4 linked regions of the Oreochromis niloticus genome follow. The protein of the gene in region 2 interacts with the protein of the main gene of each other region in a biochemical or structural test. Links are inferred from orthologs where the notes say so. Each region holds a gene or a part of one and is shown on either strand. Other genes may lie near its edges. The genes, in order: tamalin, rps6ka1, sntb1 and gopc.

The links.
Region 1: the proteins of rps6ka1 (region 2) and tamalin interact in a test that uses a peptide from one of them, tested with the Homo sapiens proteins (2 studies listed by BioGRID and IntAct). The link is inferred for Oreochromis niloticus from reciprocal best matches to the Homo sapiens genes RPS6KA1 and TAMALIN.
Region 3: the proteins of rps6ka1 (region 2) and sntb1 interact in a test that uses a peptide from one of them, tested with the Homo sapiens proteins (2 studies listed by BioGRID and IntAct, with this or other methods). The link is inferred for Oreochromis niloticus from reciprocal best matches to the Homo sapiens genes RPS6KA1 and SNTB1.
Region 4: the proteins of rps6ka1 (region 2) and gopc interact in a test that uses a peptide from one of them, tested with the Homo sapiens proteins (2 studies listed by BioGRID and IntAct, with this or other methods). The link is inferred for Oreochromis niloticus from reciprocal best matches to the Homo sapiens genes RPS6KA1 and GOPC.

Annotation. Positions count from the first base shown.
Region 1 is NC_031984.2:9,491,401-9,499,069, reverse strand, and holds the start of tamalin (general receptor for phosphoinositides 1-associated scaffold protein), read right to left. Parts: upstream 3,007-7,669; 5' UTR 2,856-3,006; coding exon 2,661-2,855; intron 2,066-2,660; exon of another isoform or gene 1,196-2,065; intron 989-1,195; exon of another isoform or gene 854-988; coding exon of another isoform or gene 845-853; intron 733-844; coding exon 680-732; intron 1-679. Other genes in the region: dgkaa (diacylglycerol kinase, alpha a), read right to left, coding at 5,037-5,111, 5,220-5,280, 5,456-5,573, 7,573-7,669. UniProt on the Homo sapiens protein: Plays a role in intracellular trafficking and contributes to the macromolecular organization of group 1 metabotropic glutamate receptors (mGluRs) at synapses.
Region 2 is NC_031983.2:14,341,766-14,349,455, reverse strand, and holds the start of rps6ka1 (ribosomal protein S6 kinase alpha-1), read right to left. Parts: upstream 3,021-7,690; 5' UTR 2,619-3,020; coding exon 2,451-2,618; intron 1,303-2,450; coding exon 1,186-1,302; intron 1,011-1,185; coding exon 929-1,010; intron 1-928. UniProt on the Homo sapiens protein: Serine/threonine-protein kinase that acts downstream of ERK (MAPK1/ERK2 and MAPK3/ERK1) signaling and mediates mitogenic and stress-induced activation of the transcription factors CREB1, ETV1/ER81 and NR4A1/NUR77, regulates translation through RPS6 and EIF4B phosphorylation, and mediates cellular proliferation, survival, and differentiation by modulating mTOR signaling and repressing pro-apoptotic function of BAD and DAPK1.
Region 3 is NC_031976.2:8,169,978-8,177,150, forward strand, and holds the start of sntb1 (beta-1-syntrophin), read right to left. Parts: upstream 3,021-7,173; 5' UTR 2,274-3,020; coding exon 1,730-2,273; intron 1-1,729. UniProt on the Homo sapiens protein: Adapter protein that binds to and probably organizes the subcellular localization of a variety of membrane proteins. May link various receptors to the actin cytoskeleton and the dystrophin glycoprotein complex.
Region 4 is NC_031980.2:28,200,777-28,208,231, forward strand, and holds the start of gopc (Golgi-associated PDZ and coiled-coil motif-containing protein), read left to right. Parts: upstream 1-4,455; 5' UTR 4,456-4,736; coding exon 4,737-4,997; intron 4,998-7,455.

The sequences.
Region 1 (7,669 bases), on a different chromosome or scaffold from region 2:
CAATAAAGGTTGACAAACAGTGTGGAATTTTTTTTTCGACTTCTTAAGTTGCAGCAAGTCAGATAAAGTTAGAACCACAAGATCGAAGTGGGGGGAAGGAACCATGAAGTAGGCTGCCCAGAATGAGATAAATAAACTATGGTGCAAATCTATTCTAGCACAGTCCAATAATAAAAGTATGGGTTATGGTTTTAGAGGTTTTATAGCTCATTCGAACATAGCTTAATGATGTTTATTCTGACTCATCCATAAAACAGCCTTTTATGTACATCAAATACAAGAGGAAGGAGGAGTGAAAGTCAGCGAGAGGTTAATGTCTGTGTTTCTCTGCATCCTTAACTAAACTGCATAACAATGCAACTCCACTGGCTGCACAGGACTTCCTCTGTATGCAGGAGCATGCGGACGTCACATGCAGACGTACAGTAACAGTACAACGGCCTGTTGGAGTGAAGCTCAACGAGGCTCAATGAATATTTATAACCTCCCTTAACAATGGCTTTAATCAGCGATCCCCCTGTTTGAATGACTGCCATTCACTCTGATATGAGGCTGCTCGCCCTGAATCATTTTTCTGAGGAAGATGCCACCGTGAAAGAATTCATGTGAAGGCACAGTGAGAGGGAAAAAATAAAAAAGTCCAAAGAGAAATATCAGAGAAAGATGAGGGATGTTGTACCTTTGTGGTTCTGGCGTCTGCGTAAGGGGTTTCCACTTCTGTAAGCCGCCACCCTGCAAGGAGAAAACGAAACAAGATGTGAAGCATGTCACACACCTGCGTAGCTTCAAGTTTACTCACGAGGATTTCCCCCCTTCCCCCCGAGCATTTCCTAGGCACACCTACTGAGCACATCAGCGATCAGCAGCCAGTCCGTCCAGTCGTCTCGAATAATGAGCCAAGAGTGTTTTGGTATTCTTAAGCTATTTAACCAGCATGCCAGCATGGAGACATTGTTGACGAAACCAGAAATGCGTGACTGCTGCTCTGTCTACTCATTGCTCATGACATCAAAACAAGAGTTGCACGCATACCTACTACGCATAACAGCAAATTGGCCGCCTTCAGGCACAGGCTGTCAACCAATCTAAAAACTGGAGCGCTGTTTACAGCAAGTGCAGTCTATTAAAAGAAGCAAATAAGACAGAGAGGTGAGAACGGAGCACAATAACAGCATTGAGAGAAAAGCCAACTCACCAGCAGGAGCAGTTCAGGTCCCTGCCCCACCTAACTGTGTAAATAAGGCAGGTATCTGTCCAGAAGGCTCCACTAAAATCACTTGAATCAATCCACCTCTGTTCCAGCTCAATCATTTTCAAATCCCGCTCCAATGAAAGGCTGCTTTGTGCTACAGTCTCTCTGGGTAGTAAAATGTTGCTTTCTTTATGTCCCAACACTTACAGAATTGACCCAGAGGAGTCTCAATGAGTGCATTTATTCCCAAATACCCAGAGAGACCAACAGGGGTGGCTCGAGCAGGATCTCCATCCCCGAGTGTACACAATGCTGTGTTGTAACCCGTCGCTCTAGTGTATGTGTGTGGGTTTAACTGTGCCTCAGTCACAACAGGACACTGTGAAAGGAGTTTTTCCAACTCTGATGTGCTCTTCGGGCAGAAAACTCCAAAGCAAGTCGAGTAAGAGAATTCACTGAAATCAGCTTCATGAGAGGAAAATAAAAGTGACTGATGCAGTAGCCAAACAAATTTACAGTATAAACATCAAGCTTTACGCAACATGGACTAAAGGATGAGGGCTGTCTGAAACCATTCCTCAAATCCAGACTAATATGTAGGCCAGGGGTTAAAATCATTTCCCCTGAAATAAGAAGACTCGAGGCCAATTTATAACCAATCAGATCACAATCAGCCACAACATTCAAACCACGGCAGGTGATGTGAATAACAATGATCACACTGATCCTCATACTGACCCACCCCCACCTACCTGCCCCAAAGTCAACGGCTGTCCCTAACTGCAAAACGGCTCAGGGAAGGAAGGAGGAAGAAGACAAACATCCCGAAGGGAAAGATCCGGGCAGGTGATCTGCATACTATGACTGACTGCTGTAAGTTTTAAGCAAATAAGCACGTCCCTCCGAACTCTGTAGCGCATCCTGTAGCTCTGATGCAACTTACTGTTAAAATGACTACAGTGACAAACTTTCTATGAATCATCAAATGCAAATTTGCTTTTGTAACCTGTTACAACAAAAACTTATCAGTCATGCGTTTCAGAAAAATGTGTTTAATCTTAGAGATCACTTTCATCCAGATAAAGATTTTAAGGTATGATGATCATTTCAGGTATGAAGAACATGGGCGAAATCTGTTTCATACAGCATAAGATTCAGAGTCTGGGTGGGCACCCGTGCCCCGAGATGGGCTGCTATAAGATGTCCTGTGTGGCGCCGACCAGCCACTCACTGGATACAATAACTTGATAACCCTTTTAATAAGCTTACAGTCTCTGCTTAAATAATAAGTAATAAAAGGACTAATAGGAAACATACAGAAATTACTGTGTAAATGATTTTTGCCTTGTAAGTTGAAAAAGCACTGAATAAATTTAATAAAACTTTAATTAATGAGTGTACCTGCCAAAAAAGAAACTTTTGCAGGTACATTCAGCAAATAAACATTTAACAGGAACAGCAGCAATACCTTTTTGTAGTTTCTGGGCAGCGTCCCCCCCGAGTAAGCCAGGGTCTTGTAGTTGTAAACCTCCGAGGAGTTGCTCGGTGTGTCCATAGTCCTGCAGCTGTCCGACTTTGACGAAGGGAAATAAATGTCGTCTTGAGATGCGGGACCGCTCTCCGGTCCATTGGAGTTCACCTTCTTCAGCCTCCTGAACGTCATTGTTGTTGAAAATGAAAACTGAAAAAAGTAAAAATAACTTTCTTGTTGTCCTCCCACAGAGTCTGAAACCTGCCGAGGGAGATGCTGACCGAGTTTGGAGCTTCAGCGTGGAGCCAACTACAATTTCTCTTGTTTCCTTTGAATAGTTTGGAGGCGGGGACTGTTTTGAGAAACACAAATGACTGCCAATAGCGACAGGGACTTGCCTCCTCCGCGGTGCCTTCAAGTGCACCTCGGATCATTTCTGTTTCGCATTGAAACAACAGCAAACAGTGTTTACCAAGATACAAATAAATAAATGTCATTAGTTTCTTAGCTGATTGAAAGAAAATCGACCAGTAGCTAAAAAATGTAATCCAAAAATTCCAGACAAGAAGACAGAGTTTCCGCTTATTTACTTTTTATATGGTTGCAGACTAAATATTTTCACTATAGGGTCAACTGGTAGGACAAAACGATACTTCTGATTTTTAACAGACCAAAAATAGAATATCAGACAAAATTATCAGCTGAAATACCTCAGCTTCTTATACTAATTGGTAGCAGTTTGAATGTTAGATCACTTCAGCTTCCTTCTGTCTTTAGAAATCTTAATGACTCTTTTGCCAAAAGAGATTAAGCCTGCTGCAAATGAGTGCTGGATCTGAACCCAGGCAGCAGGACCATTTGGATGGATTTAAATCCTCTGATAAGGTGAAGCAGGAGGGTTTTCATTTATGTTTATTACCAGTGCATGCATTATGAATCAATCCAGTTCAATAAGTTGACTGATGATTTTCTATCCTTTTGTTAAAAGTTTAAAACGATTTTGCTTATTTTTCTTTAATAACATTGAAAAGCTGCTTTGAGTATTTGCTCATTCATCAATTGGGAATATTTCAAATGAGGGAGAAGCTGCAAAAAAGCAAATGTGCCTTGCAGAAATAATCTTGTGTAAATTTCATTAGAAACCTGGGGTCTTACATAATTTTCTGTGTGGCCGACTGTTTGCAGTACAGTTGTGTAAACCATTGTGACCACCAGCCATTGACAGAGTTTCCACAGGTGTGTCATCATGTTGTTAGTGCACACATTGCTGTGAAGGCAGCATTTGTTGCTTTCAAGCCAACCTTTAGTTGCAAATTTAGTGTTTTTATTACTTGTTAAAATTCAGCAGGGGGAAATCTGAACAGATTATAGATCCGTGACACTAAACAGATTAATCTCTAAGATAAAAAAAAAAAAAGTCTTTCACAGAGAGAGACTATGATGAGCGCATGACCCAGGACTAAAAAAAAGTTAACAATGCCCCCTTGTGGTATGTAAAAATTATCGAATTGTAAGAAGTACAAAACAAAAACTGAAGTCCAGATGATTTATTAAAATCTTTACACAGTTACTTATTACATCAACATCCTCCTGATATACTGGAATGATATGATTTATAAAGCATTTAAATAAAAATAAACATGTTTAAACATATCTTAACCAATAAGTTCGAATTGAACTCATCACAAATTACAAATTAAAATCAACATATCTCAGCTTTATGCCCTCACACTCATACACGCTCACTGATGCACACAAACACACGCACACACGGGAACAGGAGGAAGTGAATCAACATGCAGCCTCTTTACTATTCCCAATAACACTTTCAAGTATCTTCAACATCACTGAAATGTAGCTTTGTCTTTTCTTCTGTCTTGGTTCCAAATTCACACAAACATATTTCTGACTTTCTTTAAAACAACAACGAAACAGCAATACTACATGGTCTATGCTCAAAGTGCATGCCTGTATGTTCGTCTACCTAAGCCATAATGAAGAGAACAGCTAATAAAGGCACATGGAGCTGAATACTCTACTCTTCGCATGATATTCAGCTTGCTTTAAGTTTCTACCAAGCAGCACTTCCACTTAGCACTCACACAGCAAGTGTTGAGTATTGATAGAAAACACTGAGAAAATTTGGTCATTTTTGCCACAATGCAAACTTATCGTACCATAACATTTGTATTTGTATTATGCCATGCTTAGTTTATGTGTTACAGTAATGCAGAACTTTTGAAATAGTTATCCTAACTTTGACTGTCACAATGCAGTTTTTCTACAACATACACATCCAAACTGATTTTATGTTACAGAGAAAAAGAGTCAGTTGTCTATATACAGCAAACACGTGCATGTCGTCAGTCTGTTTCATTTGAAAAAGCCAGATGGTTTGGCCGGAGGACCCATCAACATACAGGCTTGATTCTTGTGTGTGATGTGAATCTGTAAATTAAAAAAAAATATATAAAATCAGGCATTTCAGGCATGTGACTTCATTGCATTGCTCTAATACTAAAGCAGCCTGTGTTTCTGTGCCTGTGCAGTGTTTACCGTGCAGGGAGGCTGCATCCACGGTTCTCCATCTATCTGCATTGGTAATGCCTTCTTTGTCCTACGTAGAGAGGGATAAACAGAATGCATCAGGAAGGTCATGTGTCATTAAAATGTAAATGTATCTTCTTATGTAAATTAGCTAACGATGATCCCTAACTACGACCCACTGTTGAAGCTGAAAGTCCAGCCTTGTCATGTCTGAACATGTCCGTGTGTCTTTTTTCCCCCCTCACCTGATGGTGATCTGAGAAGTTTTCGCGAGCCGCACCGCGCTCTTGAGTCCAGTGTAAATCTGGCCCATCTCCATGGCTCCTTCAAGGCCGACCACCTCTAATCGCCGATCACTGAGGTCTGACAAGAAAGCAGAGGCTAATCAGTCCAGAGAAGGAAGACAAGATTGGGCCTGAGGCAGATGCCACTTCTCATATTTAATCCGCATCAGAGTGGAGATCAATGACAGCAGTGGTTTGAGGCACACCAATGTATATGAATAATCATACATAATGTATAATCATCATGTACCTGCAAACAACTGCAGTTTACGTGCACTTATTTCTCTGTGCATACAATGGCGGGATGGTTGGACTCAGGTCTTGGCTGACAGCACAGAGATGAATAGTTAGGAGGAAACTGATTTGAGAAGCAAACCATAACTAACCACTAGTGCAGAGAACCTCAAGAAAAAAGAAAAAAAAAAAACAACATTTTTGCAGAAGCTGGTTTCTGCTTCTTAAGATTTCAGCTGAGATGTCAACAGCTTTCAGCCTGCATGCGTCATCGTTTCTGAGAAGTTGGCTAATGTTAACATGGTGCCATTCGAGCACTGAAGAGGCACGTGGAAACTAAGCATCCCTTCTGTGAGAAATTGGGCCTACTTCAAATGAATGCTGACCAGGGGCACCAAAACCCTTTTCTGTAGTGCATGAAATCTTCTGATAAGATAGTGGAGGAACTTTACAGTACAATCAAAAGAAGAACTAAGAACATGGAAGATGACACATAAACATTTTTTTTGCAGATAAGAATACAGATGCCTTGAAATTTTGGCTTGCTATTCTGGTGGCTCGGTATCATAAAGTTCAATAACCAGATTACACAAATAGCACCAGGTACTTGTTTGTTTGTATGTATGCACTAAAACCCTGCATTTAAGTGTTAATATTTTGGCCAGTCATAAAAAAGTTAAACACTTAAATGGACTATCGCTTTCAAAGAAAGAAGAGGGGCTGCTACAAATAAATAAGATAAATAGATATCATCTTTAAATGTGAATTCTGTAGTAAATATGTTTATAGTAAAAGCCAAGAATAAATATATGGAGATGGACAGAAGTACAGTATAGTACAGCATAGATGACCTTTAAGGGGTCAAAATCGTGTACACAGGGTTATGCTGCCCTCAAGTGGCCAGAAAATCAGTAACGCCACATTCAAAGTTAGACCAAACATCATCATATGGGTTCCAGTTTCATTGGACTGTTATTATAATTTGTGCAATTTAGAAACAGAGGAAGTTTGGTTGGAATAAATTTATTTTTTATTACACCCTCTAGTACTGTTGCTAGAACATCAACCCCCTGTCTGTTGGAGAAAATGTGGAAATTAAAATGCAAATGACTACCGTGTATTTTGGGATTGTCTGGTTATTTAAAACTATCAGAGAGAGATATATGTTGCCCGCAACACATTTTTAATTGTGAAATTCCTCTAGGAAGTAAGTTTATATACTCTGGATATATACTGGCAGAATGGATGAAGAGATAAGTACTTAATGCACTGCTGGTGGCTCGTAAAAAGACTCATAAAGGAGTTGGTGACAGGTTAAACTTTGTGAAAAGTCTAATGTGAGTCGATGAGTCAGTGAAGCTCACTTCTGTCCAATGACGCTGATGCTGACGTGAGTTTGAGGATAAGCTGAACTTTTCTATCAGTAAGTGCTGCTGATAACATTCACATACTGAATAAACTTCCATACGTTAAAGGAATGTAATCAAACTGTTTAACAAAGGGAAAATGTAATCTTTAGGACACTAAAGCAAACATAATGTTAGCTTATATCCGTCTGATGTTGGTTAGTTTTCGATGTTGCTGGTTGTCAGATGTTGCACGTCTAATTTGCCGACAAGAAATCGTTACAATATCAGAAATAAATAAACATATTATTGCACGTTTCTGTGTATTAGAGAAGTGATTTCAGGTGAGGAGATGAGGCTTGAGGTGAGGATGAATTTAGATAAACTTTATACTTGCTGCTAATTATATTTTCATTAATTTGTGTATTTCATTGTGTTCTCTCAGGACCACTGCTGTTAGATCAGACATCTGAGTAATACAGGTCAACTGCAAAATACCTTGGGAAGCCACTTTCAGGATTTCTGGATTGATGATCACCTCCGGCTCTTCCTGCGCCGTCAGTCCCTTAGTGTCCACTTTTTTGGTCTCACCCCA
Region 2 (7,690 bases):
GTGTGGCGTTATAAATCTTGAATGCATACTGTGTCATACTGCATACTGTACATAAGCACAGAGTATGGTAAATGTACTACAACACACCAAATGCTGGTACTGATGAGAGTACAATTCAACTTGGACTCATTAGGCTGCAATAGGAGAGGATCCTCAAATTAAAGCATAGCCAAACTTTTAAATAATGGGGTCAGTGCTGAATGTTAATGATGACCTAAATTTGGGGATTTTGTGCATGCAACTGCGACTCTGAGCACAGTAGATTAACTCAGCTGCTGCTTAAAAACTTCTGTTCACCATGGGCAGCCAATCAGAAGAAAGCTGACTTCAAGCAAAAGGGAAGGAATGTAAAATAGCGATTTTCAGACAGAGGGTGACCTTAGGAGCTGCACCCAGAATAAGGCGAGTAATGATGAATTTGACCTGTGAGTCATGAAAAGCTGTTAAAGAATAAAAACGCGGAGCTTTAAATGAGAGTAAAAGGTCCCCGTTAAATTTGCAAGGCTGCACAGAACCACCCACATGATTTTGGGAGACGATGAGAAGAAATCTGATGCCCCGATGTTTGCAGAAGGTGAGACCACAGCACCTGTTCATAGGAACCCACTGAAAGCAGTGGTGGTCTTACTATGCACACATACCACTGCATGTCATAGCTGTCTTTGTGTTACAGGAAATTCATACACCCTTTTATATGAAACTAAACAACCACTTGAAAAATGAAGTTGCCAAACACGAAGCCTTTTCAAATCAACATTACCGGAAAGGTGAAAGGTGCAGCTCTACAAAAAAAAAAAAAAAAAAACAAAAAAAAACCTCACTCACTTTTCTTTGGGGGTTTTTTTCCTGTCAATGAAGCCAAAAGCCAAAACAGAAAAAAGCAGCAATTAAAATTTCACGACCACATCCAAGCCCGATGCTGCTGTACCTTTTAGTGTGGCCTTCTTAAGGACCTTCATGGCATAGAGCTGGTTGGCATCGGGAGGAGTCACCTTTCGTACCAGGAACACCTGCAAAAGAAATTTTTTTTTTTTTAAATTCCCCCCAAAAACATAACAAACACCAAAAACACTGTTAAGGATGCAACGATTTTTGTAGGTTGGGGAGTAAGAGTAGCAAAGGAGGAAGAGAAAAATAGACATGCAGTCAAAATAGAAAGAAACCGAAAGAGTAAAAGCGAATTACCTTGCCAAAGGATCCCTGTCCCAGGACTTTGAGCAGTTCAAACTGAGAGGCATCAGCTTTCTCTGAGCCTTCCTTGACCACATGGGTGATGTTGATCTCTTTGATGTCTCCATCTTCCTAAAGAGTGAAAAAAAAAAAACGGATGGAGGGAAAGCAGTCAGTGATCACAGAACGACAGCAATGCTGCACAGCTGCAAAAAAACCTCAGAAAATGTCACAAGCCGCTTGCTTATGCAAAGATAACAGTTGTCCTGTGGAGGTGCCTCCTGCTGTAAATAGCATCACATCAATTCAAAACATTTCAAAAAAAGAGGAAGCATGGTAAGAAGTGAGATGTGCATGTGAGCACAAACAATTGCTTATCGATGCGTTTATGTGCTTTTAGCATACTGGAACTGGTGGTGTAAACGTTCAGTGGAAGTAGATCTGTGTAAAAGCAAGTTCACAGCAAGCGCACTCTTACAACTGGGTGGAGCCCAGCTGGCACCGCTCACAGCTCCACCACATGAACACGCGCAGCTGACCTGGTGTCAGCCTCACCCAAAACTCAACAACAACAACGATGCAGAGAAGAGTTTTCCCCTCCCTTGATAATCTTCCTTTAATTTCACACCTCGGGCCCTGTGATGAAGCAAAGTACAGTAGGTACCCTGCTGGGAGAATTTTAGACTCACCAGTGCAGTTTCAGGGGAAAGACTTTTTCCCCACTTCTGCCTATGAAATCCAAATCTCAGGGATCAGAAAGCAGAACATCCGGGCTGTCCTGCTCCTAATTTCTCCTTTATAGGCATGTTCAGGTTTACACTATTACCATGGATCCTGAATAAAGCTACATTTGGTAATTTATTTGAAAAGCAAACAAAAAATAATAAAGTGCAATCAGCTGACCGTTGCATAATCAATATTTCAAAGAAGTGACGAAAGATATATATTTTCAGCAGTCTCTTCTTTCAGCTTTTTAAAAGTTTCTACAAAACAACAGCCACCGCCATCACCACAGACCACTGCAGCCCGGGACTTTATTTGACAACAGGAAACCAGAGTTGGCTGAACACAGCAGGCTTTCAGTTGCACCTTGTTTTCTGAGCAACCACGACAAGAGCGAATACAAAACCTCGTTTGCACTTTGCTGTGCTGATGAATCCCTCTTTTCTCCTCATTTTCTTAAAACTCAGTTTCATTAAGACGATGCCACTGAACGCCCTGTCAACGACTTAACTACTCAAAGTTGATCGAGATGTCAATATCAGGAGGTGTCACTTTACCGTCCAGTGGTTCCGCGGTGGAGGTAAAGTGCCAGTGTCCTTGTCCGTTGCCGCCGTGGGTCTGTAGGTGTTACAGTGAGCAGGGCTGCCAGTCAAGGATTTGTTCTTTTTGAACAGGTAGATGGACAGCATGCGAGTCAGGTTGAACTTTCTCTTGTCCTTCTCCATCTCAGCATTTCCCAGAGTGTTGTATCATCCTACCTTCATCCATAACAAGGTACACACTCTTCTACCTCTCATATAATCATCTCAAATCTCACCTCATCTCACCGAGAGCACACTTTAGGCTCGTTTGTGCTTTCATGTTAGGATTCGTTGTGTGGACTGCAGGTAAATATAGAAAAGTCTCTCAGCCTCTGCCCTTTTGTCGACTGCAGAGGCCTTCTGCTACATTTCTTTCAGTGCTTCATCTTCATGTTCTCTTCCATTCTGTCTCCGGTCCTTGCTCTCTCCCTGCCTCTGTGTCTGTCTGATTAGACCGGTGTGCCTTCGGTGAATGACTGCAGCTGAAATGAACTGGAACCGAAGCGAGCAGGAAGGAAGAGCCTGCTGTATTCTCACAGTCCTGCACCCAACTTCTTGTCACACTCACACACACACACACATGTGTGCGGCTGAAAGAGAGAGAGAGCGAGAGCGAGAGAGAAAAAGAGAGAGAGCAAGCGAGCAACAGGAGTACACTGAAACTCAAAAGACGCACAAAACAGAGAAAGAGATAAAGAAAAAGGAAAAAAGAAAATGCCGATTAAATGCTTTCCTGAATAAATGTGATTAAAATAACCCAACGCTTTATTTGCTTGTATTATCAGTAATTTCACAGACTTAAGAACCCAACTCTGTGCCACTTCCCTTTACCCATAATTCAACACAGAGGCCAGCGTGGAGGAGGATGGCAGAGAGAGGATGATGTGTCCCCTCTCGGTGTCAACACACCAGAGAGGATTCAGACAACTCACTGCCTCTGGATGACAGAGATTTTCCTGTCTGTGGCCAGGCATGTTCCTCTCTTCCCCCTCTTAACAGTCCTGTTCCTGCTCATCCTGTCTCCTAACACAGCTCTCGCTGCTCGAAAAGTGGTCTTGAGATCCTCTTACTTTCCTCCATTGCTCACTTTATTGCTGTTTATACGGCAAATACTTCTTTAACCTGAGAGAATAAGCCATTACGCGCCTGTATATAGAGCATGAGTCAACTCCTCTTGACCAAAGAGCAGCGTTACTTGGCTGGCAGCGAACCTGCACTGCAGCCTGTGCTCAGAAAAGGTTATTTGCTTAACAATTTTGTGATGAGAGAGTACATTTCCCAGAGGGTGGGGAGACGAGAAAAAAAAAGAAAAAGAACATACAATCTGACATGGATGAAGCAGGATGCAGAAGTAATGTTTGTTTAGCGAGGGAGGAGCTGCAGAATGAATCGATTTAAAAGCAACAGTACACAGGTGGTGAGAGCTTACCTGGGCTCTAATAGTGGCATAGTCCCTCTCTATCCAGGAGATATGAGACTCGTTCTAGGAAGTGTTTGAATGGAGCAGTTAACATGAGTTACGTAAAACATGACGGGTTTTGCAACAGGTACATTCGTACCTGTTCATACAGATTTGCTGCAGGTACACCTCATTAACACACAATCACACACACACACAGAAGAGGGTAGAATAGGGCCACATTAGTGACAGGAAACTTCTCTTCCCTCCTACTTCTCACTTCCTCTTTTCTTGAACTGATCTCACATCCTTCCTGCTCGATAACTAGATAACCAACTACACAGGAGAGCTGAGTTTACAAGCATGACAGCTGTTGCAGAGAAGAAGCTGAAATTCAGTGTTATGACTAACTATATATAAAGGTTCTCGTGTTATCTGGAATCTAGAGTACTCAGGAACAGCTGTCTTTTGAAAGTAAGTCACATGGTGTGTGGGAGATTAAAAAAATTAAAAAGAAAAGAGTATTCACACTTCATGGCCTCACACTCATTTTTTGTGGTTTTGCAGATCAGTTTCAGTTTGATTGCATTAATACCATGACTTTGCCAAAACGCAAAGACGGAAAAACAGAGTATCTACCTTTTAAATTTGCTACACCGGTTGAGTGAAAAGGCAGGATCTTCCGTGAAGCAGCATTAAAAATAACATTTTTTATGATTTTTGAGGGTGGAGGAGGTGGAAGATCCTCCATTCACATCCTCCTTTGTTTCCTGTCATTTCACAGCTGGGAAGATGCAAACTCTCACATCCACCCTCACAGAGGAAACCCCTTCATCCACTCCCAAAATATCACACAACACACTCGCGCGCGCGCGCGCGCACACACACACACACACACACACACACGCCAAGCACTCCCTAAAGCTTTCGGCAAGTCCCCAGCACATTCTTCACCCAACCACACTCACACGCAGCTGCCCACTTCACAACAAGCAGAGGTTTATAACATGCACACATGAAATAAAAGCATCTACTTGCCTCTGGGATGCGGTTTTTGGTGCGGAATAAGAACCTCCACATGTCTGTGTCCAGATACTTCCATGTCACTGATGCTGTCACTGGGTGTCAGTGAACCTCTGTGACAGTCACACTTAGACACTTGCTTCTGTGTCAGTTAGCCAACAACTCTGTATGCAATACCGCAACAGATACAACCTTCCTGTATGCTAAGCAAAATGGGAAGTGAAGTTATAAAAAATGCATACGAGCAGGGGACCGATTAGCTGTGGACAGCATAGAAGGAAAAGGCTCAACTCAAGCAGGAAATAGCTCTTTCTCAATGGGAAAATGAATCACAAGTCTATACAACAGCTACAAGGACAGGTTTATGGAGACAATGAGAAGAACTTGAATCTTCTGTGTCATTTTAGGCAAAAAGTGGGGAAACTGACTTCATGCTTTTGCTTCAGTTTGAGATTCAAGATAGCAATCATGCAAGGTTTTCAATTTCCGTTGACACATCATCTGACTAAAAGTCCAACAAAGCCTGAAAAAGGGCAGAGTAAAAGTTTAACAATAAGAGAATCCTACAGTCATGATAATCTTCGGTTGAATCAAAGCTTAAACGAGCTAACACAAATGCTTCTCTGAGTCCGCTTATGCAACATTTGATAACCTTTTCAGACTGCTAGAGAACAGATGCATCGACTGTGAGAGATAGATATGGTGTAATGCCCTTTCATTAACACAAGGGGCCAGTGCAGGTCTGCAGTCGGTCCACTGGTAGGTGTTCCAAAGAAGGATGTCATAAGAAGGAGCTTTAGCCAAGTAAGGGCATGCTCACATTGTTAGCTCATGCCTCATCCAAATCCCAGTGTTGGCTCTGACACCAATTACAGTAAGGGAGACAAAGTGGGACAGAAAGGAAACATGTGGGAGGTGATAGGCTGGAGTGCTGTCCAAACACTGTCCATTCACAGCAGCAGAGGTCACACCAGTTTAAACCCTACAACAGTCACGTCTTGCGTCAAAGCAACGCACCAAAGCTCGAAATGATGGCAAAGTTCAGAGGAGAGAATCATTACAAAAAATAAGACAAGAGGAAGAGACAAGAGGAAAAGAGAAGTCACTGGTCAAATGGTGCTTGAGCCTGGAAGAAGGAGTTAATTTAGGCTGTTGCTCTCTTAGTGTTTGTGTCTTGCACTGTAGCTTCTCCTCCTTCCTGGAAAATGAAGCGCAAGCACCTGTACGTTTTCAACTGCAAGACAGCTCCGACTGCTCGGACAGAGGATGACGAGTGAAAGCGGGAAGGTCCAGAGAGGGAGACAGAGCAGTCTAAACATTCATCTGTAAAAACAAATACCCACACTAGACTTTGCCTGCAAGAGCAAACGCACTCAGAGGAGTAAAAAAAAAAACACACTGCAGCGGTACCCTCACAATGACGAAAGATTCTGAGATTATATAAGAAGACAAAAAGAGACTGTAGGCAGCATGGATCATATTTTTAGGCATTTCTAATAAAAATGCTTTAAGGTTATAAGCAGGAACGGCTACTTTTATTAATGTCTAATAAAAGTCCCTGTACTGAAATGTTGCACCCTCATTTAAATCTGCAGCTGCATAATCAGTTATGATTGAGATTAAATCAACTTTTAATGTATAAAATGTCTAAAAATTGTCAAACACTGGTACTTAAAGCTGAGTAATATGTATGTGAATGTAGAACTAGTTTCATTTAAAACTCATGTCTTAGTAATATTGGCAAATATTCCCATCACTTGCACATGATTAACTAATCATTCAGTTCAAATCTTAGTGTACAACCCTCTATGGGTCATTAATGAGAAGACATTTTTTTGCTCTCGCTTCATCATTTATTGCTTATTTAAGGAGGAAGACTTAAACCATCAGAATTCAAGCCACAATCTAAAATCATGACCACTTAAAACGCCCCTTAAGTGCGACACATACTGTCTGTTCTGACTTTCACCTGGACCCGAATTTTAACCCTCATAAGCAAGTTCCCATGACTTGCAAACAGATATATTGGGTTTCACAAATGATTACACAAAACTCATTTTTCCTTCCACATTTTTCCATAAAAGGGCTCTTGCCTAAGTGCTAAGCAGCACTTTTGTGTTGAAAATGATAAATGATACGAAACGATGACGATGGCTCCCTTTTCATCAAATCCCAACTGTTTTATACTAATTACTGGTTTTCATGCCCATAGCCTTGAAGAGAATTACATATCATTAATAAATGAATTATTAACCACTTTTAAAAGTGGTTTTCTGTTTGTCAACTGTTTCGCACGAAAATTACAGATGTTCAATAGCCTGGCATGTTTTGAGAAAGAAGAAATGCATAAACACTGTTTAAAGTGAGATATTCAGAGCTCTACAGTGTAACTATGCATATGCACTCATGCGGGATTTCAATGCAGGAGGTCTAAAAGAGTTTTGTATCCGACAATCACATCATGAACTCGGGCTAGAAAGTGGCTCTCTGTTTTTAAATCAGCCAAAGTATCTTCCTTCTCCTCTTTAATATCTGAAGGTGGGCACCAAAGAACGGGACTATATTTTGGAGGGCAGGGAAATCATTCAACTAGTTCCTTTCAAAGTCAATTTAACACCTTTGATGGACAGGCTGTTCCTTCAGCACACCTTTTCACATTTTTAAGCCTCTCCGTCTGCTCTCCTTCATTTTGTCCTCTCCCATGTCCCATTTGTACTCTATGACCTCCACCAACACCTGCTAACAGCCGAGACTGACAGGCTGGTACAAAAAAGGGAAGAGGGTGAAGGAAGGT
Region 3 (7,173 bases), on a different chromosome or scaffold from region 2:
GATACACAGATTACAAACATCCACGTACAAATCTTTTGCACATTTGCAGACAAAATGCACTAACACACTCTATTCCCACGGGACAGGTACGATCTCCTAAAAGATACATCAGATGTTTCCTCTTGATCCCTTTTCTTATACGATACAGTCTGCCTCTCTCAAATCTTTTCAAGGTGGCTCCCACTCAAGAATAAAATAAAATGGTGCTGATATTTAGGTTTGACATATCACTATTCATTCGATTTTACTTTACATTTGACTAATTGATGCCATTTTGTTGTGCAACACCTTCATGTGTTACCCAATTTCTCACGTGCAAATTATCTCTCTTAAATAGCAGTTACTGTGAAAATACTAACCCTCACAGTAATCTTTATTTCAGCCTCTTTAAATCTCTTGTTAACTGTCCTTCTGTTTCAGTCTCTCATCCACTCAGTCTCCCATTAAATGCTCTTATACCCCTCATTTTTCTCTCTCTTCACCTTCCTCTGCTCCAATCTCCTCTGCCCTTCTTTCAGATCGTGATACAATTTTCAGCTGGGACCAGCATGTCCCCATGAGGAGGGTGATCACCGTGTTTGTGTATCTGAGATGAGAGAGAGTCGTGTGCACGTGTGCATGGGAGAGAGGGAGAGAGAGAGGGAGAGAGAGAGAGAGTGAGAGTGAGAGAGTGACACTTTGTTCTTATTGTCTTGGGTCCAAGAGTCCTCTTAGGGACAGGAATTAAAGAACTGAGAAGTAGGCACTTATGTGCAACAGTTTCCTGTATAAAGGAATGTGTGTGCATGTGTGTGTGTGTGTCTTCACCTTTCTCAGTGTGGCTACCCACAGCCTAATCTTGATCTTTTAGCTGAAAGCAACTGTAAAAAAAATGAACAGGCTGCACATTTGAGGAAGCAAAAAAGGCCAGAGGAAGGGAAAAGATATGAGTTTGATGTTGCATGATTGTCCCATGGCACATCTAGTTGCATAATACCTATTTCCTTAATCTCAATTATTCTTTTCTGCAAAAAGCAATCAGTCTGTAACCTGTTTCCAAATTATGTAATAAAACAGCACCAAATGCCAGTGTTGTTCAAGACTCGGATGACTGCAATCTAATTTGATATAAACAGGGTGAATTAATATCAGCTGCTGGAATAATATTTACTTTCCCGGGTATAACAACCAGCACCTCTCTTCTTTAATGTAAAATAAATTACATCCTACAGCAGAGGTCAAAGTGGAAGCTGTGTTTTTCCCTTTTCTTTTCTTTTTTCCTTCACATTCTATTGCTGCAATAAGTGAGTGACAAGTGACTGTAATTAACTGGAAAGTAGAAAATAAAAAACGTGTCTATTGGACCTGATCGACCCAAAACCCAAGTCTAAAAAGGCAACCATGTGGAGCCAGAGGTTCTTCCGACATTACAGGTGTCATTCAGTGAAGGAGCACTGATCTCCTCACGTCTTTATGTGAGTTTATGGGCATCCCAAAAATATTACGCAACATTTGAGAAACTGACACACAAACTGTTGTGGGATATGTTACACTCAGCTCTTACCGTCGGGGTACGCTTTTCACTCCTTCACTAAATAAAATCTGTACTTGCACGAACATTCACAGAGGCTTCCAAAAAACAACCCGTAATCTACTCAATCAATGGGAGGTTCCCCGACCTCTACCTCTCTTTCAGGTGTTCCTCTATTTCTTTTATCCTCTCACATGCCTCCTCTCCAGTATGCCTTACCTTCCAGAGTCACCTCTTTCCCGGCTCGTTTCAGCGCCTGCACAGCCTCGTCGTGGGTCGCGTCCCGCAGGTTCATACCGTTCACGGACAGGATCGCGTCCCCCACATACAGAGACTGGGTCTGGTCCGCTGCGAGCCCCTTGAATATTTTACTTATGAGGATGGGCATCTTATTCTCCTTCCCTCCTTTGATGCTAATCCCGAGTCCCCCGACTTCCTGCTTGGTCACCTTGACGCACCGCTTTTTGTTGGCGATCGCCTCGGGTACCCGGTCCGGGAGGTCCGTGAACGCGGTGCGCACAGTTTGGGGGCCATTGTTGGAGTTGGTATTACTGTTGTCATGGTAAGATCCGTTGGTAACGCCGTTAGAGTTGACATTGTCATCGACACTCTCGTTAACGTTGCTCTCACAGCTTAACGTGAGCGCTTCCTCGTTCAAGTTGACCAAAACTTTGTGCCACTGCTCTCGCACCAAAACCTCTACAAATCCACTTTTTTGCACTCCAGAGCCAATCGGAACTCCAGTCGCTACTACCACCGCCATCTTTGGAGCATTTCTGTAAAAAATCACATGTGGTTTAGTTCCCAGCGCGCTCGCAAGTTCCACCCTATCTTCTTCTCGCCCGGGCTGGACTTTGCCCCCTCTGAAGTTTTCTGCAGGACTTATATCGAGCGTCCCGTCCGACCAGCCCGAGCTCTTTCAGCGCAAACTCCCCCTCCGCTCTGCCTGCCCAAGATCCTATCTGCTGGGTGGAGTTTTCCTCCCCCCGCCGTCAGCCGATCCCATCTCCAGATCCCGCTTGTACAAAATGTGTACATCATTTCCCAACTTCTTGTAAAACACGCTAACCAGTGCAGAGGTAAACAAACACCGCGAAGATTAGGCAAAAATTCACTTTTCATCCATTCCAGCTACATCAAACCGACAAGACTACCATGATGTGTGCCTACACTACTGTCATGTTAGAGTTGGCTTTACGAATCTTTTACACTGGCAGGAAAATAAAATGTAATTTGTGGAGTAGAATATTTTTTGTTTTGTGCGCTCTTGGGTAAGATGGAACTGAAGTCACGGAAAATTGGCATTTTTTTTCCCACGGCGGTAGATTTTTAAAGACATATTTAAATAATATTAATTAGAAGAAGAATCAAATAGGCTATATGACTAGAACTAATTTCCAGTCTTCCAAGTGTCTAGTGGGTCCCATTCTTCTACGAAAGCCCGTTTTTCCGTGGGTGAAGTGAGAAGGTTTTACGCGCGTACAGGAATGCGTCTGTGCGGGTTGTTTCGAAGAACGAAAGAAGAGAGGGAGCACGTTTTTCTCTGAAGCTCTGTCAGGGAAGGCCTCCCTCTAAGGCTTTGTTTTGTCTACTATTATTCTAAAGGACGTCCTTACGCCCTGTCAATCATGCGCGATCCAGAAAGCTGAAAAAAAAAGTCAGTCAGCTTAGACCTTGAGAGCGCAGCTGGAGATGTCAGCATAGTGACCGGAGCTTCTCGGAGTATCGCTGGTCAGGCGGACCTTTCTTCACAGGCTTAACCCCTGTGTTCAAGTCTAGTGAGTGACTGACAGTGAGGCTGAGACAAAATCAGTTTCATCTCATCACCAGCTCCTGACTGCATCTCAGTAAAAGCTGGAATACTGAGAACAAGAAAATGTTTAATGTAAACGTCTTTAGCTCCGCAGCTGTCTGGCTGTGGATCTTACTCACAGCTGCTCAAGTGCTGAAACGTGGTGAAGTAGACCACAGTGTCACACTAAACTATTAGAAATGTTGCTACGACACCTACCGGTGACGCCTTTAAATACTAAATACTAGAGCTTCTTTAGTGATTTAGTGAATGTATGACTTGGCTGCAGACTGCTAATATAGAGTATTTTACCTCTGTTTTGTGCCATATGTGCACAATTAGTTTGTGTGTGGGATTAAGTTAAAATGTGTCATTAAAAGTTGTTCAGTTATGGAAATATATAGTACAGCGTGGGAGACAAGCTTCCCTACAAGCCTGCCCTCAAAACTATGTCAGATCATTACTACTGAGCTGCACCAAAGACATGATTAACTTGTTTATTGTGAACAAGAGACTGCAACAGAAATACAAAGAATATTTTTAGTTTAATGAGGTGTAGGAGCTACAAGCGATTTTTACTTTTATATGGAAATGAGCTGTCACGTGAAATGTACAATCTTTGTTGTGATAATGACCTTCAAAACAAACAAAGAAACAGAGAGAGAGAGTGCTATCTTTTTAAAGGTGATGGTACTTAAAGGTGTTAATAAATCTTTTTTATATCCCTCCTCGCCCGGCGACTTGATTGCACATTTTGTTTTCAGTGCACCAGAGAGCAGCTGCACAGAGGTGTGGTTACACACAAACACACATGTTCTGTGTTGTGGGTCTGTGAACTGGCTTTCTGGCAATAATTAAGAGGGGGAAGCAGTCAGATGAAGACTTACGTGACGCACGTGTGGCCCGATCTTGTTTTGAGCTTTGTTTTTTATTATTATTATTATTATTATTTGACTTTTTATTGAATAATTTATTCCTTCAGGGCCACCAATGGCACCAAGGGGGGAAAACACACACACTAATTCGTAAAGCTCACTCTGGTTTATCTTTTTCCCCATCTCTCTTCAGCTTTTCTTCAACATCCATCTCTAGTTTTACTAGGCTAATCCTCCCTACTAGGCCTATTTTACCCTAAAAGCATGGATGCTGTGTTTAAAAAAACTTGTCAGCTGCAACATGTTTCAGCTGACAAGTTGAAAAATAGGAAGCTAAAGACCAGGAAAGATGCATAATCCTATAAATAAATAAAGCATTTTTTTCAACAAAAAAGTGAAAAGAATTTGGAGATGATACATTTTCTAAATTTTATTGAATGGCTGTTGTGTATGGCCTATTAATACATGTAATTCTATAGAGGAAACCATTTCAAGGGCTCAGAGACACTTCTGAAAGCCACAGCTACGCAAGGGAGATAACTGTTTGGTGATATGATGAATAAAATGTGAAAATATCTTTTAGGAAATCACAAGAGACGACCATCCAGCTTGCTATCAGTCCATAAGTTTAAAAGGCAGCCCACAGTCTAAAAAGCTGCATCTATGATGAAGTGGAGGGCATTAATGCACATGAATAACTTGCTCTGTAACTGCACCATTAATGCCGAATGATATATACAAGTTTTGGAGGGACAAATGCTTTTTTCCAGAGATCTTTTTCCAGGGGAAGACCTTGCTTAATTCAGTAAGACAATGCCAAACCACATTCTGCATGTATAATCAGAGCCCTGCAGTCTGGGTGCCAAGCAGGAAAAACTAATATATTTGGTGCATTATGAAATGAAACATACAACAAATGAGGCACTTAACTGTTGAGCAAAACCTTTCACTGTCAATTTTCAAAAAGCTTATAGAGCTGATGCGACTCAGTGAGAGACATGGCCCTACCTCAGCTTTTTAGAAACATGTATAGTCATCATATTGCCTCACCAATACACTTTTTATCTATTAGTTTTAACTGGAATGAGAATCGAGTACAATGAGAGAACCTTTTTAAGTTTGCTGCTTTAAGACTGACATGTCAGTTTTCCAATATACAGTGTATACAGGGGGAAAACATGGTGGAAATGACCATTGCTTGGTGGCACATACATCTTTGTGCTTGTTGCAAACAGAATGAGGACACGCTCTTCATAGACCAAGAAAAAAACGATCAGGATTTTGTAAAATATGCTTCTCAAATGAATTAAATGAACACTTGAGATCTCAATGGGAAAGAAAAATCATGCTGGATATCTGTACTCATATCAACTGAGTAATGTGTTAGGAATGAAATGATGCCACATTGTTTGGCGGATATGAAAATTATCAACCAAATCAAAGGGGGGAAAATGATGCAGCAGGCTAGTCCATTACCAGTAGTCCAGTAACTCAAGATGTTAGTTTGTATGGCCCCCACATGCATGTGTGCATACCTGATGATGTCAGGGCTCCTAACGATACACAGTTGGTGTCTTGGGGGATCTTCTCGCAGATCTGGGGCAGGGGCGAATCTAGAATGGTGGCATGGGGTGGCATGCGCCACCCTAAAATGATTTTTTGCCGCCCCTATTACAGCCCAAGTTTTACATATGACAGAGTTGTTTATTAAAATAAGACAGCATTAACACTTTGAACCTAGCTATTATTAACACTAAATATAAATTATAAAACTGAATATATTACATAGTGTTAACCCCCCTCCACCATTAACAAATGGTTCAGCCCATATGCCAACCGGATTTATTTCTTGTTTACAGTAGCAACCCATGCCTATGATTGTGCCAGAGCACATTTTGAATCAACACCACGGGCATTTCAGATTTCACACAGGTGGTTGGTTGTCACACTTTGAAAATGGAATGAAGGTGAGTTTTATTAACCCTCTGAGGTCCAGGACACACCTGACTGATTTAAGCTGATACAGCAACAAGCTGCAGCCACGCTGAGTCTCTATTTAAGCTTGTGTTGAAAGTTCGGACTTCAAAGTATACACCAGTTTTTAAATTTTAATAGCAGGCCACTAAATCTAGAGTTATGATTAAAAAAAATACATATGTTTAGTGCAGAAGAAGTGTTTGTTTTTTTGTTTTGTTTTGTTTTGTTTTTTAAAAAGCATTTTCTAAGGACAGCGCGAAAACAGTAAAGAAAGGAAAAAAAGCCACCTCTTTCCTACTGGTGGAAAAATGTACGATTTTAACCAATAAAAAAAATGACAACATGAACCAAAGATAGAGAGCGATATCGACAGCGAGTTTTGAGATGTGGGAGATTTGTGACGTTTAGCGTGGAGTGTATAGTTAGTGTGCTGTGTATTCGCTGTTTTGTTTTGTGTGTCAGTGAGGGCACTAATGAATGTGACAAAGGCAGATTGTAATGTAAACACTGTCTCCAGGTGGAGTGATACACCCGTTGTCAGGCCTGCAGGGTTTATCGGTGTCTCCTCTGTCTTGTGGCGGACAAACAATTTTTTTTACTGGCACAAATAATTTGTGGGTCATCTTATTGTGACACCTGATTGTTCTCTCATTTTCGTTATAGCAGTATTTTTAAATGGTTATACAAAAAATCAAACTGCCAGGTGCATTGGCTGCATTTTTAGATAAATAGTTGTATATAACATTATTGTTTACAAAATTTGTGCATAGGTTTTCAAAATTTAAAATTTATATTTGCATTTCAAGTTATGAAAATAATTTACTAAACATGTCTGTGTTTTTTACAGTAAAAAACAACAAAGGATTTTATGTTTTTTGTGTGATTTCAGATCAGTTATGTTAATATAGTAAGTCAATGAAAAAATAACTGTAAATTCAGATTTCTAACATTTTGTGTGGCCATTCAGTAATATCACTTCAGTGTTGTTTATGTGTTGATACACAGTAACTTGATGTTAA
Region 4 (7,455 bases), on a different chromosome or scaffold from region 2:
TGATCTCTTTGCCCCTCATGATATTCTGTGCTCCCTCTGTTTCCGTGTCTAATCATCTCTGCCTCTGTGTTCCCTCTGTTCCAGTGTAGTTAGGTCTCTGAGTAAAGCCCACGTCTCTGAGTCTGTGTCTTTGTGTGTGTGTGTTGAGTTTCCTGTTTTATTGTGAAGGGTGTGTCTTATGTTAGTGTCTGGTTTTGCTTCCCCTTGTCTCATCAGCTCTGATTTCTCCCAGCTGTGTTTCTCTCCTGTCTCCTATTCCCTGATTACTCCACTGTGTATATAAGCCCTGTGTTTCCTTCTGCTTGTTGCTGGTTTGTCTATGCTTTCATTCTTCATGTACTGCCACTCTCTGTCTCCTTGTGTTCAGGTTTGTTGTTTAATTCTTAGATTTTCCCAATTTAGGTTATTTCTCAGTTCAGTTCTCGCCACCCTCGCCTTTTGTTGTATGTCCCTCTCCACAATAAAGCTCACTCACATGAGCAGTGCCTGCATCTTGGGTCCTCACTCATAACCCCACACTTCTGCCGTTGCAGCCGTGACATATTATTTCCCATTCTGTTTGTTTTTATCTCCTTCAACATCGTTCAACTTAGGAAGACCATTCAGGGACCATTAGATTCTTCTTCTTTTGAACATATGTGCTTGTATTTTTTTTCAGCAATTCATTGCATGGTTTTTATGAAATTCCAAAAAAGTGCACCAACCAAGGCCACTCTGGAGCCCTACCACTCGGCCTAACTTTCATCAAACTTTATATGAGTCACAAGACTTTTATCCGGTAATTCTGTGCTTTTGATCTTTTTTTTTCTTTTTTCTTCCACAGGAACAGTTTAGGTTTCATGAAGAATTTAATTTTTCATGGAATTTTCCCAACACTGCATGATGATATCATCAGCTGTAAAAACTGAGGCTGGAGAATAATCTGAACAAAATGTCTTTTTCCTTCTTTCACGCCCAGACCTTTGCCCTAAATGTATAATATATACATCAAAATGTAGCTTATCAATGTCCTCTTTCATCCAGTGTCACTCTCATTGAGATGGGATTTATTACCTCCCTCCTGCCACTCCATCACACCACCACACATGCAGGGCCTTGAGGTACAGGTATGTCACTGTGGTGCAGGGGAGGTATTCCCCTCCCCTCCTGGTCACCTGTGCCTTAATTTTATTCCATAACTTAGACACATTATTTACACTCTGGCCTTGGGGGTGGGCACACTTGAACTGTGTGCAGAGAACGGTCTGTTTATTTAGCCTCACCTCTGGTGCCTGTGCTCACTTCTCAATTTTAAATTGCATGTAGACATTTAGGGTGTTGGGAGAGGCTGAGCTGTCACCAGCTGTTATCTGGCTGAAGGTTGTTGGCGCCATGCTCCTCCCCTGTTTTAAATGCACTTTAGAACAGCATGCATCAACACAACATATGAGAGGACCGTTTGAGGCATGGGGTCTTCTCACATCCATGTTGTCTGTTCATCATCTGGGGCGGGGACTCTGTGCTCTAGCATAGCCAGCTGCTGGTGGAGCCTGTGGGCTTATCCCTACGCCCCCCTGGGGCTTTTGCACCGTAGCTGCTGGGTGAACCCCGTCTGGGGCTCTCCTCACGTCTTTTCTCGGTGGGTGGTGTGACTTCCCCTGCGGTGGTCCTCCTGGGGCTCTCGTGCTCTGGGGTGCCTATAGATGTCTTGGGCCCGGGTCTCCTCCATGCCTGCTTCATGTCCTGGGGTGGCCGGAACAAGGTGTCCAAACAAATGCACACAATCTTGGTTGGCTGCTGCCTCTAAACATGTGATGTGTCATTAATACTGTGTGTGCTCAATAACATTAAATATTTAATATTTACTGTTACTTATGCATATGATGGTTGTTGTTAAGGTTTCCCTGCTGTTGTTTTTTGCATGTTTTTTTTAAATTTTATTTCAGCAGGTGGTCAAGATTTTCAGTGCCCTCTCTCTTCTTCTGTTAACTTTCTCCCCATCTTCTCTTTCCTTTTGTTCATTCTGATTGTAATAAATAAAAAAAAAAATCCTAATACAAATCTAACAAAATATGACTTTCAAGTGGACCAGTATAGCAATGGTCCAATTGGGGAAATAAATGTGCATTTTGTTTGGCCTTTGGACAATAAATCTGTTTAGTTCAACTATATTGCAACCTGCCACATTAAGGTTGTATGCAGTTTCCACTGCAGATGCTTCCAGAGGACTAGATCACTACGAGTGAGTCCTGGGTGCTCATGATCCTGTTGCCTCTTCAGTAGGTGCCATTTCTTGGACTATTTTTTGTAGGTACTCATCACTGCATACGGATGAACAAGGTGCCTCAATCAGTCAGTATCTTTTTCGGAATTCTGACTTGGGAGATGACCTGAAACGGTGCCCGTGCAACAGTTTTAGTTGCAGAAATGCTGGCCAGTGGCAATGCTTCAGGATATTGTCTTGTGGTTCACCACTTGGCATTCTGGGCAGGATGCTCGTCACTGGCGCACATCCCCTCAATGGTCAGAGTTTTATATCCCATGAAAGGATATTTTCACTAGGTGCAGAAGTGGATCAGTGAAATCACCACACATGAGAGCACACATCATCCTCAGCACATTTCCATTTGTTTTCCAATTTTCAAGTAGGGTTATGCTTTGAAGCTAACTGCACAAGTTGAATGACCCCTTAGTTTCAACTAGAGGTGCTTCCTAAAATCTGCCCTGCCTCTGTCGTGCTGGTTACTACAACTGGTACAGAAGGACTGAATTATTATTAACCAAACAAAAGTACTCATAATAAATAAAACTAAATAATAGTTCCACATTTTCCAGCACTGTGTCTAATTAACCCTGATTAGCCTTGGTGTGTCTGTGAGTATAAATGCCTTTTCTCTCTGTGTTCTCTATCACATCAAAACTCACGGATTATTTGATCTCCACTTGTCGGGTGCAGTCTGCAGCGATGGGAAAAGTGAGGCTTTGTGAAACACTGAAACACTCAAAGCATTTGTGCCGGAGTTGTATTGAGGCTTCGAAACAACCCGAAACCTTTGTCCATGGTGACATCTGCTGGCCAATTTCACTACACCAGTACACTATAGTGACACAGACAAGCTCTGCACAGTTCCAAACAAAGCTACCTATTATATGAGACTGTTAATAATTATGATCAACACATATTTTGGAGGCCAGAAACATATTGGGACTGTTAAAGAAGGCACTCTGTGACTAGTGATCAGTGTACTTCAGCAAAATTCTCTCTCTTTTAATATTGCTCTCAGTTACTTAATTTACAAAGTAAATTAAATCATTTGAGAAAAGACTGCTGTGTTTATTGGAATAACCACACAGGTTTCCAGCTGTTGTGAGATCAGTGTGCTTTGTTTTTGGTTGGTTTTTGATTGATTTTGAAGCTTTCCAGGTGTTCGTGTCAGCTTCGTGCTAGAAACTGGCACTGCACTAGGTTTTAATTTCAATTAATTAAAATCTATAATATTTAAATAAAAAAGACAGAATTCCTTATTTATAAAAAGGTCAAATTTGTCACATTTTCATAGGCTAATTCTGACCAATCATAACAGACCATTTCACACAGGTTGACCAGAACATTTTTAAATCATCCTCTGCTGAGCAACCTCTGAACCATGAAGAAACTTTACTTTATACTGCTGTGGATGCTGTATCTTATAACACTGGCATGATGTTTTACTGGGTCATAGTGAAACTGCATTACTCCTGCTCTTTATGAGATTATTACAGCAGAAGCGTCAGTGGGAATGAAAAAGGGATCACCTGTATTTAATGGATGTTTTTCTAACATTTCTTTTAACAGTATAAATATATTCTTTATGGCGTTATATGAGTACTGTGTTATAGTGATAATAAAGTAACTTATTGCAGCAAATAAAGTTTTCTGTTGAAAGGGATTCAGAGCTGAAAATTCCTGCTGTTTTATTTTCTCATTGAAAGTAGAGAGGAGGTTTTTATTGAGATATTCAGCAGTGAGTTTATGCCACAGATTACACTTTAGATTCCAGTGTTTGAGTGCTTGGATAATCCATATTGGGCTTCACAATCCACGACAAAAACATTACTGAGAGAGAGGGTGTTGGTTAGTGAATCCTGGTGCCCGGTGTACGCCACCTGTCGAAACTGGCCTTGGTTTTTCTAACACCTGCGCTTCAGAAGCTTCCCATCCCTACGAGCAATACAGCATAATGCTTTTTGTGCACATCCTCATCAGTTACTTAGTGAGCCAGAACTACACAACACGTGTTACTTGAACACTACACAGTAAATCATTACACTTGCAAATGTCACGAAAGCCCCGAGATTAGTAAAATTATATTGTTCATAAATAATGTTATTTATTTATTTTTACAAAATTTCTCGCATTAGAAGACTTTAATTGTGAAAGTAAGAACAGGAACAAGCTCTGCGTAAACATGTCGTATTTCCGGTACGACGTAGACAGACAGTTCCCGTAGAACACCCACAGGGCACAGTTCCACAGTAGCGGAAGGAGTAGCCGTAGCTCTCCTGTACGCCGCTTTCTGCGTAGTGGCTGCTTGGATGAAATCGTGAATCTGATGTGGGACTTCCTGGTTAGGCATTGCTTTCGGGAATTTTAAGTCTACGGACCAATACAGTGTTCATCACATTACAGCGTTATTTTAACGGTGTTGGCAGAGATTAATTTGTCATCGTTTTTTAAGTTAGCACAAAGCTAACATCAGCGTTACCTTGCTCTAACCATGTCTGCTTCGACTGGATGCTCCCCATCGGGCCAGCACTCGGGCCTTGTCCCCAGTATGTCCATGTTTCGATGGCTAGAAGTGCTGGAGAAGGAATTTGATAAGGCTTTCGTGGATGTGGATCTGTTGCTTGGAGAAATAGATCCAGATCAAGTGGATATAACGTATGAGGGTCGGCAGAAGATGACCAGCCTCAGCTCCTGTTTCGCTCAGCTCTGTCATAAAACCCAGACTGTCTTCCAGCTCAACCATAAACTAGAGGTTAGTATTTCTTCTAAGAAGAGCGGTTATGTTAGGAATCAGGTTTCTTGTTAATGAAATGATCACGCCGACTCCACTCAAGATTCAGCAGAGTGACTAATGCCACAGAGCAGCACTGGTGTTTTCAGGGCTTCAGTCACTCCTGTGTTTTGGTGTCCTCCCTGTGCTTCTCAGGTTTTATATCCATCTGTGGCACCGACCTGTAAACTGTGATCACATAGGTTAGGGCAGGGGTCTGCAACCTTTTACACCCAAAGAGCCACTTGGACCCGGTTTCCACACAAAAGAAAACACTGGGAGCCGCAAATACTTTTTGACATCTAAAATGAAGATAACACTGTATATATTGTTTTTTTCCTTTGTGTGAACAAGGTAAGGTGAGGTGAGGTAAAGTGTGCTGCTTATGAAATCCACGAAGTGCTACAGAGAAAATTACATTTTATTTATGTAATCAACACATTTTGAACTCTTAAAGAAATATAACAAAAGCAAAGACACCCAGCTGAACTAAAATGATCCATGTAGCAAACAAAAACTGTTGTGAGCCGCCTCCCTTATATCTCCTTTGGGCTGTTGGAGCCTTGACCTGACTTTTAAAAAATAATTGGTAAAAAAGCTCTATGCTGCTGAAAAATTAAAAATAGATATTTGCAAAATTCTGCCTAAATATGTATTTTACCTGGTTAATGCGTGCGGCGGGGGCGTGGTCTGCAGCGCCGCTGCAGGGGAGGCGGACGCACCTGAGCGGCACCCGCAATCACGTTTACACAGGACTGTAAGCTGTCATCTGTGGTCTGTGAGGCGTGAGCAGTGTTTGTCTTTAACATAGTTCACGGTGGAGCTGCTGACATAATGTGGATCCGAAGATCCATAATTGGCCTACCTGGGGTTGAAAGTCTCGATAAATGCACGGTGTTTCGGCGGGAATACCAGCTTCCGCGAGTGTGACGCTTATATTGAGTGAGGAAAAAATAATAGAATATAATTTTATATTTATATTTCAATATCACAATAATCTTCCAATTTAGAACTACAAATTTAAAAGAACTAACATAAATAAAATACACTTCAGCGAAATACTTCTAATTTATTTTCCCAAACCACGCGGAGCCGCACTATAAGGACTAAAGAGCCGCATGCGGCTCCGGAGCCGCGGGTTGCCGACCCCTGGGTTAGGGTATCCACAGCAGCCTTCGTTTGGTCATTGAAACCAACATAGGTGTTAGCATACTTCACATTCACTTGTCTTCTAGATACAGAACATGTTCTCAGGTGTCTTTAACCGCTTTATTAAATATCCTTTATAATTATGTACCACTAACGTTTTTTTTTAAATAAATAAATTAATTAATTTCAGCATTTTTCGATGATTACGTCATGGCCTTAAAAATGACAATGATTTTCTTTTCTTTAGATGTTATCGGGATTATGTTATGTAATGTCTCGTTTGTTTTCTCGAGTGCCCTTCATTTTTTCTGTAAATGTTAACATAAAACTAAAAACAGTATCACTGTCATTCACTTATCCGTATTGTGTCTCTAATTAATATTATTATAATAATTCAGTGTTTTTGCTTTAAGAACACGACCTGTCATTACTAATTAGACAAATCAAAAATGCTCTCACTATAAAGACATGATTAAAAGCCTGAGACATTTTCTGAACAATACAAACCTAAATGTTCATTAAAAATTGTGTTGCTTTCAGCTAATCGAAACCATAAGAGCAACAGGCTAATCCGCTCCAACACACATTATTGTTTAGGCCGTTCAAAGCTTCCATACATTTCGACAAAGTTGTCAGACTCGGTCTGTAAGTCGGCAGGCCCCAGGCTTATTTTCAATGAGAGGGGCTTTAAAGACTAAGTCAGCACCTGAACTCCTTGGCATTTCCTCAACAATGTTTGCTGTGTAATTAGGGTGTATTGTCATGTCCAAAGAAGCTTTGCCATCTGTGAATATTGTCATTATGGGCTGTATCGGTGTGTAACAATGTTTAAATAGGTGATACAGGCCCGAGTGACATCTGCATGAACTGATGGGTTTTCCTGCTTAGAGATAACCCTGCTTCTTCCAGCTTAGCTTGTTATCATAGTGATTCATCCTGCCACCTGTTAAACCTGTTAAACAATGCACATACACTGTGCCATCCATCTATCAGATGGAGCAAACCCTCTGCCCTAGACTTTGAACCTTGTTACCAAATGTTTTCCAGTGTTGGAACAGAAGTGGATCATAGAGGGGTCAGGACAGATGCACTGAGAAAAATGACTGAACATGACTTATTTTTTGTCAAAAATTTTGTGATTGTACAGTTTTGTTAGCTCAGCGTTAGGGCTGGGTATCATCACTGATTCCTAGAATTGATTCGATTCCGATTCACAAGGTCCACATTCGATCCACGATTTCAATTCGATTCGGGTAACTTATCGGGGAAATTTTTCCTCAGAAATATTATA